Danio rerio: one gene and its partner. The protein of the gene in region 2 purifies or fractionates together with the protein of the main gene of each other region. This does not show direct contact. Links are inferred from orthologs where the notes say so. Each region holds a gene or a part of one and is shown on either strand. Other genes may lie near its edges. The genes, in order: cep43 and cep350.

Region 1 (4,469 bases), on a different chromosome or scaffold from region 2:
ATAATATTTTAAACAGTGCATTTCCAGCATCTTCTGTAAACAAATATTTTAATGTAAATAATAACTTTGATGTAGTGGAAAATATGCCGTCTTAAGTCATCTCTGGCGCAGCTTCCAATCCTCATCATTGTAGGGAAAAGTAAGGCTCAAGAATGGATCCATCATCCTACTTGACCAGAGATCAGAAGTGGCTGCAGAAGTATAAAACAGCCTTAACAGAGCGGGGTCACGTGACTCCACACGCAGTAAGGAAAGTAATTGAAAAAATTGACCTGGAAAAATTAGCGATTATAGGTTGTGAATGTCGATTTCGATTATTTTTCGATAAATTGCATAGCCCTAATTAACATGTCGTCCAATGACTCTTCATCTAAATATGACTGATAATGTTTTTTTTATATATAAACTAGTTTTACACTGAAAGACATGTTAGACTGATTCTTCTCTAAATGATGGTAAACATTAATAGTCATAATAAATATGAAATAATAAAACTCCTCTGGACAAATTTTAATAATCAAATATACAAATATGGTTCTTTGACTCATATTCAATATGCTATATTTTACTGCAGTATACAGTTAATGTGTTGCCAACTTTAGTTGCAAAACTGCTAATTAGATTGCTTTTGCAAATAAGATTTCATTATTTCACATTGATATGTTTGATGAAGCCTCCTGTATTAATTTTCATCTATTTAGCTTTATAACTATAATTCCATGCAGTTACAGAAAACCAAACATGCTTGACATTTTGAGACATTTGAGATTTAAGACCTTTTTCTTTCATGTCTCATAACAGAGACACGTTTTCCTGCACAAGAAAAGTTTTTTGTTTTCAGTTTTTTACTGTATGATGCTCCGTTTTCTCAGCAGGAATGTACAACGTCAGCAAGTTCACAATGCCTAATCTTTGAAAATGTTATTTTAATTGTGTAGATTTTTCCAACATCAACCACATTAAAACAAGAGAGAAAACATGAAAGGAATCCATACTCACCATCCTTTGTGTTGAGGGACTTTTTCAAGTTTTCATTCACAAGAGGGGTTTTATTCTATTCAAAAGAACACAAATCTAAATGACACACTGAATCCTGAAGTACACACACACACACACACACACACACACGTACGTACGTACATAGCCATAATAGAATTGTATTTTCTGTGAATTTACAGTTGTAGTCAGAATTATTAAACCCCCTGAATTATTACCCCCCGTTTATCCCCCCCCCCCCCATTTTTGTTTAACAGAGCAAATTTTTCAACACATTTCTAAACATAATAGTTTTAATGACGCATTTCTAATAACTGATTTTTTTATCTGTCATGATGACAGTAAATAATATTTGACTAGACATTTTTTAAGACACTTTTATACTGCTTAAAGTAACATTTAAAGGCTTAACTAGGTTAATTAGGTAAAAAATATAGCTTAAAGGGACTAATAATATTGACCTTAAAATGTTTTTTTTTTTTTAATCATAACTGCTTTTATTTTAGCTAAAATAAAACAAATAAGACTTTTTCCAGAAAAAAATAAAATACTATCAGACATACTGTGAAAATGTCCTTGCTCTGTTAAACATCATTTGGGAAATATTTAAAAAAAGAAAAAAATTCAAAGGGGGACTGATAATTATGATTGCAACTGTAACTACTGTTTATACTGAATTTATATTATTTATGCAAAAAAAAAAGTTGTTCTAACTTACAATATTTGTCTCGTTTCTACAAATATCTACATTTCAAAGTGAAAACAAGATTGATCTACTTTCTTCACTGGCAGATAATTTTGCTTGTTTTAATGAAAAACTCATAATTTTGACTGATCTATTCTGAAGTTAAAAATAAATACAATTTTACTTGATCTAAGAATTTTTTTTTTTAATATAGAAAACAGATAAAGCATAGAAAGAAAAGCCTTTTTGTATTGTGATTATTCAATTTCTATACCTGAATAGTGTTAGACTAGCCAGAAAACCGTCAAATCATGCTATTAAAACCATCTTGGAAATCTGTATTCATATAGCAATATTTATTGAAGAAAAAATAAAATACTGCAATGCAGTCCTAGACTAAATATTCAAAGTAGCGTGGTAAAAAATAAAGGGACTGTGTCATAAGTTGTCACTGAATGAATGTGCGAACATAAAACCAACTTTACCTCAAATTAGTAGTACTCAGTTAGCAATAGCATAACATAAACTTCTTATAATTACCTCAACTTTGTCCTGCTCCTCCAAGGCAAGAAAAACAGCTGCACGTAGCTCTGCCTGTAAAGCCAAATAAGCCTCTAACTCCATATGTCCAACATTCACACCGATTTCTAACAGTATTATAAATAAGCATGTGGAACATTTCACCTCAAAATTATAGCACCAGATAATGTCAATGAAATCAGATTTATATCAAATTGAAACAGACTATGTGTGGCTTGATAACATTAAATAACTTCCTTTATAGCCCAGTCAGTTTGCAAAACAAGTTTATTCGACATTTACTTAGGCAGATTTGCTGGTTGATATTTAGTATAATAATAACACAGCAGGAATAAACAGTGACACTGTGAAATTTCATCTTTATTAGTATGAATGAGTAAAAAACCGGTTACATAACTGTCATAACGCAATGTTGTCACACTAGGGTCTTCTGTTGTCCAGTTGTTGCCCATAACAACTTTAGCATCACTATGCTATGCTAATAACGTTAACCGTTGTGCTTGGAAAACAAAATATATCCCGTATGAGACAGAGGTAATTCTGTTGTCTACAAAATTTCAAAAGGGTCTCGAAATAAGCAGGGGAAATACCTTGATTTTATTCAAAACACCGCTGTTTTCCAAGTTTTGGATCAGTAGATCTCTGAGTTCCGTGTCCTCCTCCGTCGCAGACATCTTCAATTTGTGTCATGTGACTACATGCTGAAAACTGCGCGCCCTGGCGGCTATTAGCGACTTCACATGTTGATTCATATAACGCACCAACAATCAGAGATTTAAGGTTAGTATGCTTGGATTTGACAGCTTCAGTCCGTTTTGAAAAACACATTGACCCAGCCAGATTGTGCTGATTTTTAATTCTATAGACCTAATTTGACTGGATCTCGCCTGCAGCTCATGAATATTAAGAAGATAACTAATATTTATAAATGAAATATGATTGTAGTAGGTTTACACATCCACTCCAGGTAGACACAACAATGGCTAGTACACTGTAAAAAAGTTGACTCAACTTAAAATTCTAAGGCAACAAACATTTATATCTAAGGACATTTTTAAGTTTACGCAGCTTAAATCGAGTCAAGTGAAGTAATTGGGTTGAAAATTGAGTCAGCTAAAAAATGTCCCGAAGTTGCCTTAAAATTTTAAGTTAAGTCACCTTTTTTTTTTTTTTTTTTTTTTAACAGTGTAGTTAGCTGGCCTTAAGGGGACAAAACTGAAAATTCTGTCATCATTTAGGCTACTTATCCCCCAGTGGTTCCAAGCCTGTGTGAGTTTAGGTTTTTCTGTTAAACAAAAAATACATTTTGAAGAATGTTGGAAACTGATAAGCTGTCATCCATGGTAGGAAAAAACAAAACAAATACTATGGTATTCAATGGCTAGCAGTTGCCAACATTTTTCAAAATTATATTATTTTGTGTTCAACAGAAGAAACTCAGGTTTGTGACAAGTGAAGGGTAAGTAGCCTAAATAATGGCAGAATCTTTATTTTTGAGTGAATTATCTCTTTAAATGTCACTTAGTCAAAAAGTCAGCAGATAAACAAGGGATTTTTTTTTAATTACTCACTTTCAAGTCTTAAATGATACAGGTGAGAATTTTTCATTAGTTGATGATATAATGCAAGTTAATGGCATTGGCTAGCAGTACTTCCAATCAAAGATGTACAGAAAATTAACAAAGTAGTAGCCTACATTAAGCAGAACAATTGATGAGTTCAAGAATGTAAATGTTATTCCATCAAAATGATACTAGTGCATATCCCGAATTGAAGAAGAGCGGTGTTATCGCGCGCGTACTGAAGAGCGGTATTATCGCGCGCGTACTGATCAGCTGTGTTGTCGCGCGCCTACTGAAGGGCGGGACCGAATGTGTGCCGCGTCGCGGGGGCGCTTTTGATCATTTTGGAAGCGCACCTTCTATCCAAGACTAAAAAGGGCATGTGCACTGCACAGGTTGAGCCCTATGTGTGCACGTGCCTGTTTGACATGCCTGTGGATTAAAGGTAAATGAATAACACTGCATTGTTCTGTTTTTTCCTGCACAGATCAATTATTTTAATTATTAAAACTTCATCAGTAGACAGATATTTTGTTTTGCCTGTACAGTTGAAGTCAGAATTATTAGCCTCCCTGTTTATTTTTCCCCCAATTTTTGTTTAATGGAGAGCAGATTTTTTCCAACACATTTCTAAACATAATAGTTTTAATAACTTATTTGTAATAACTGATTTATTTTTATTTTTG
Region 2 (3,826 bases):
GGAACCTGTGTGTTTCAGTGTGTCAGGTTGTTGTTTTTGTGTGTTTTACCCATAAACTGCATCGGATGCATGAGTTTTCCCCTGATCAGGATATGTTAAATGCACAATTGCCATTTCCCTATTTTAATAAATGCAAGTCTCCAAGTCTATTTTGGCAAGCATGTTTTGGAGTGTGAATGTGTTTGTTTGAAGGTTTTATGGGTATAAATGCTTTGAAAAGCAGACTAATGTGGTGTGCGAAGATGGTTGGTGAGTGGCATTCTTTGAGCGTCTGCTTTGCCTGCTTTTGTGGTGGTTTCTCCAAATCGTGTCACTTTGCTTTACACAATCTCGTTTTTCCTTCTTCTGCCTCTCCTGTCTGTCTTTTTGTCTCTTTCGCTCGCCTTGTAGATTTCTCACTAAAAGGGAGCAGCAGTTGATGCAGAGGCGCAGACATGCTGAAGAACTTCTGGAGTGGAGGCAGAGGCTGGATGTGGAGGAGGCTGAAGTACGGCGGATGGAGAAACAAGCTCTGGCGGCCTGGGAGAAGCAGCAGCAGCCACGCAGCAGAACCCAAACGCAGCAGCACAGCCGGGAAAATGAACACAGTCACACTAGCGGAGGACAAAGCCCCATAGGACAAGGTGAGGAGTGTGTGGTAAAACATAGAGAAGGAATGGCCCTCTAAAGAATGATATACGTCACATCAGTTTATATTCTTTAACATTTTACACTGGAGTATAAATAGGCATTTACTTGGCAAGTACAGTGTTCATACAGTCCTGGAAAATTCATGGAATTTTGAGGCATTTTCCAGGCCTCAAAAAAAAAAGGTTTTGGAAATTTGTTTAACAAACATTTGTGTACTTGAATATATTTGAGATTATAATATTGGATAAATTTTAAATACAATTGCGATGTCCATGCCTTCATGTGACGTTCCCTGCATGGTGCAAAAAGCAACTTGCAGCTTCAACTTCGCCTCTGCTTAACTTGCTTTTACAATCTCTAACCAATCTCTAACTAAAGAGGTAAGATATAGTGGGTGCTAAAGGCTATTTTGTACTATTTGTTAAAACACAAGCCAACATTTCCATTTATTTTATTTATTTATTTAATTTTTAACAGATCAACAGTGGTACTGGTATCTCGTAACAAGTACAGAACTTTTTGTTAGTGATTCTAACAAATGCATACAAATGCTTCAAAAGCAAAGACAAAAATAAAAAGTGATTATAAAACAAATTTAGAAAGACAGTCACTGGGTACCCCTTAAGAAAAATCCAAAAGGAAAGCCAAATGTGCCAAAACACCTCAGATCTTTGATGGAAATCCTAGGTTTTTTTCTAGTGGTAGAAGTCTGGTTGCCACATACTCGGGTATCTGAGCAGTTGACCATATATATGTGTGTATGTATGTGTCAATGTCTATCTTGCATTTGAAACACAGCTGGGAACAATTGGGAAATATTCTATGGAGGCGAACTGGGGTTCAGATGGGGTTAGATAAATCCTGTGAATACATTTATAATTTTGTTCATGAACAGAAATTGAAGTCCTTTTGGGATAGATATTTGAGCAGGCAGATAGCCACTCCTCATCACTAAAAATAGACCCCAAATCCTTTTCCCATATCACCCTTAAAGAGACAAAGGTTGAAGGACCAATGTTAGACTGCAGTGTATATAATTCAACGGTCTTTCTTTTAAGCGTCCATGAAGAAAAAAGCAGTTTGTCTATTTCAGTAAAATAAAATTGGATATTACCTTCTTTTAACTGTAACTTTAAAAGGTGACAAATTTGCAGGAATTTACAAAAATCTTTACTGGGAAGACTAAATTTCTTTCTTCTCAAATGATTTATTTGGCCATCATCGAATAGGTAACACAATTCCGACAATCCTCTTGATCTCCAAGTCAAAAGTCCAATATTCTGTATTGCAGTGGGAAAATCAAGCATAATAGGTGACTTGGAACACAACTTATTTGGGATGGATAAACATTTCTTAACATCCTTCCACACCAAAGGAGTATTTGTTACTGTAAAAACACTTGTCAGATGTTGATTTTTTTGTACATTGAGTAAATGGTAGGGAGCATAAGACTCTAGGAAAGCATCTTGTAAATTCAATCCCAACCCATCGTGAATTGAATCTGTAAATAAACCAATTTACAAGCCAACATTTCTAAAAATTTTCACACAGACCGCAAGATACTTTCTAAAAAGTATTTTACATATAAATAAATAGAAACTACATAAATTATCTCATATTTTTTGATATGCTGTAATAAATTTGAACATGCTTTTTTTATATACACCACCTGTACATAGAGATTACTTGAAACATTATTTCATGAATATTTACCTAAAGTTTTGGAAAGGTCCTGAAATTTTAGTAGTAAAAATCAGTATGAACCCTGCAAGTGGTTAATTTTGGGCCATTCTGGTGAAATTCTTGATTTAATTGTCTGTTTGTATACTATAAAACAAATTAGTTTTTAACATTTTTGTCACGATTAAACTGAGTTTAGGAACTCTGCTTTACCTTGATTCTAACATCTAGCATTACAGTACTGCACAGCCTCTTCTGTCATATTATTAATGTCCCCTTTTAGCCTCTGTAAAGGTTTTCATTTTCGCTTACATCTTGTATGCATGTATGTTTTCACAGAAGCGGGCAGCGAAGATGACGACTCTGTGGCGTTGTCTGTGTCCAGCGTTCACACTGATTTGTCTGTTCCAGAGCAACTGGGCAGTCCGTCCTCAGATCGGCCTGTCTCTGAGCTCAACTCTGCTGTCGTCGATGCCCTTTATTCAGCCGAGTTTATTGCCACGGACAGCAAACAGGTAAAAATGGTCTTGCACAGAATGTAGTTTTGTAGATATGCTTATCTAAATTTGTAGATATACAAAGTTGTTTTCAATGTGCTTTGACATGACTCAGGGTGGATTGTAGCTCTCTGTGGTGTGTATGATTTTACATGTCCTGACCTTGAATCCCTCTTCCTGTGTGTGTGTTGCAGTCTCCTCCAGGGAAAGCCAGCCTCAGCTCTCTTCGACATTCAGACAGTAGCCGGCCTGGCACTGTCACTGGCACCAGCAGTTGCAGTAAGATGCAGGTGCACTCCGGCTCCAAGACCAGCGAGCCCCACACCAGCGATACTCATTCGGCCACTCCGTCTGGTAAGATCCTTCATTCTCCTATCAGATTTTAGAAGTTATCTGGATTGAGTTAAGATCTCTTTTCCTTTTAGGTTGCAACTTCTAGATTACACTACTTTGTTTTTTTTACATTTAGATCATAGTTCTATGGCTATGCCTGTTAGGCCTAATTATTTAGCAACAGTTTACCCTTTACATATTTACAAATAGGAGATGCAAAATGGAGGAGGAACCCTGTGGCAACAATATATAATGCTTGGTGTTCAGCTTTGGGTGTGCACTTCTCTTGATCAAACCACTTAGTCATGTTATTAAAGCACAGACAAGTCTACTTATTATGATGATCCATGAGAAATGGTGTCTTTGTTCCTTTTGTGGTTCAAATTGTTTAAATGTTTTAGTTGTGTACTTTTAATCCTTATGGAGACTGTAATATGTTTAATAATGTTTAATGCTACTGTGGTTTTACAAAGACAATAGTTGTATTTGTATGCACTCGTATGTTAAACCTATAATGCTTAATACGCTGGCGACATGCATGGTAATTTAAACATATTAAGGAGTTTTATTTGTGGTTTATTTTCTTTAAAAAAAAAAACAATTAGCACTTAGAGTTTTATAACCCATAACCCAGAATTCAGTTAGCATGTATGCACTTTAACCTGCACCTTAACCTCTTTTTAGTG

The links.
Region 1: the proteins of cep350 (region 2) and cep43 purify together in Homo sapiens (affinity purification with mass spectrometry; 6 studies listed by BioGRID and IntAct, counting the BioPlex papers as one, with this or other methods). This does not show direct contact. The link is inferred for Danio rerio from reciprocal best matches to the Homo sapiens genes CEP350 and CEP43.

Annotation. Positions count from the first base shown.
Region 1 is NC_133195.1:33,353,642-33,358,110, reverse strand, and holds the start of cep43 (centrosomal protein 43), read right to left. Parts: upstream 2,914-4,469; 5' UTR 2,896-2,913; coding exon 2,812-2,895; intron 2,276-2,811; coding exon 2,222-2,275; intron 1,055-2,221; coding exon 1,000-1,054; intron 1-999. UniProt on the Homo sapiens protein: Required for anchoring microtubules to the centrosomes. Required for ciliation.
Region 2 is NC_133183.1:16,331,811-16,335,636, reverse strand, and holds part of cep350 (centrosome-associated protein 350), read left to right. Parts: intron 1-390; coding exon 391-623; intron 624-2,649; coding exon 2,650-2,825; intron 2,826-3,001; coding exon 3,002-3,161; intron 3,162-3,826. UniProt on the Homo sapiens protein: Plays an essential role in centriole growth by stabilizing a procentriolar seed composed of at least, SASS6 and CPAP. Required for anchoring microtubules to the centrosomes and for the integrity of the microtubule network.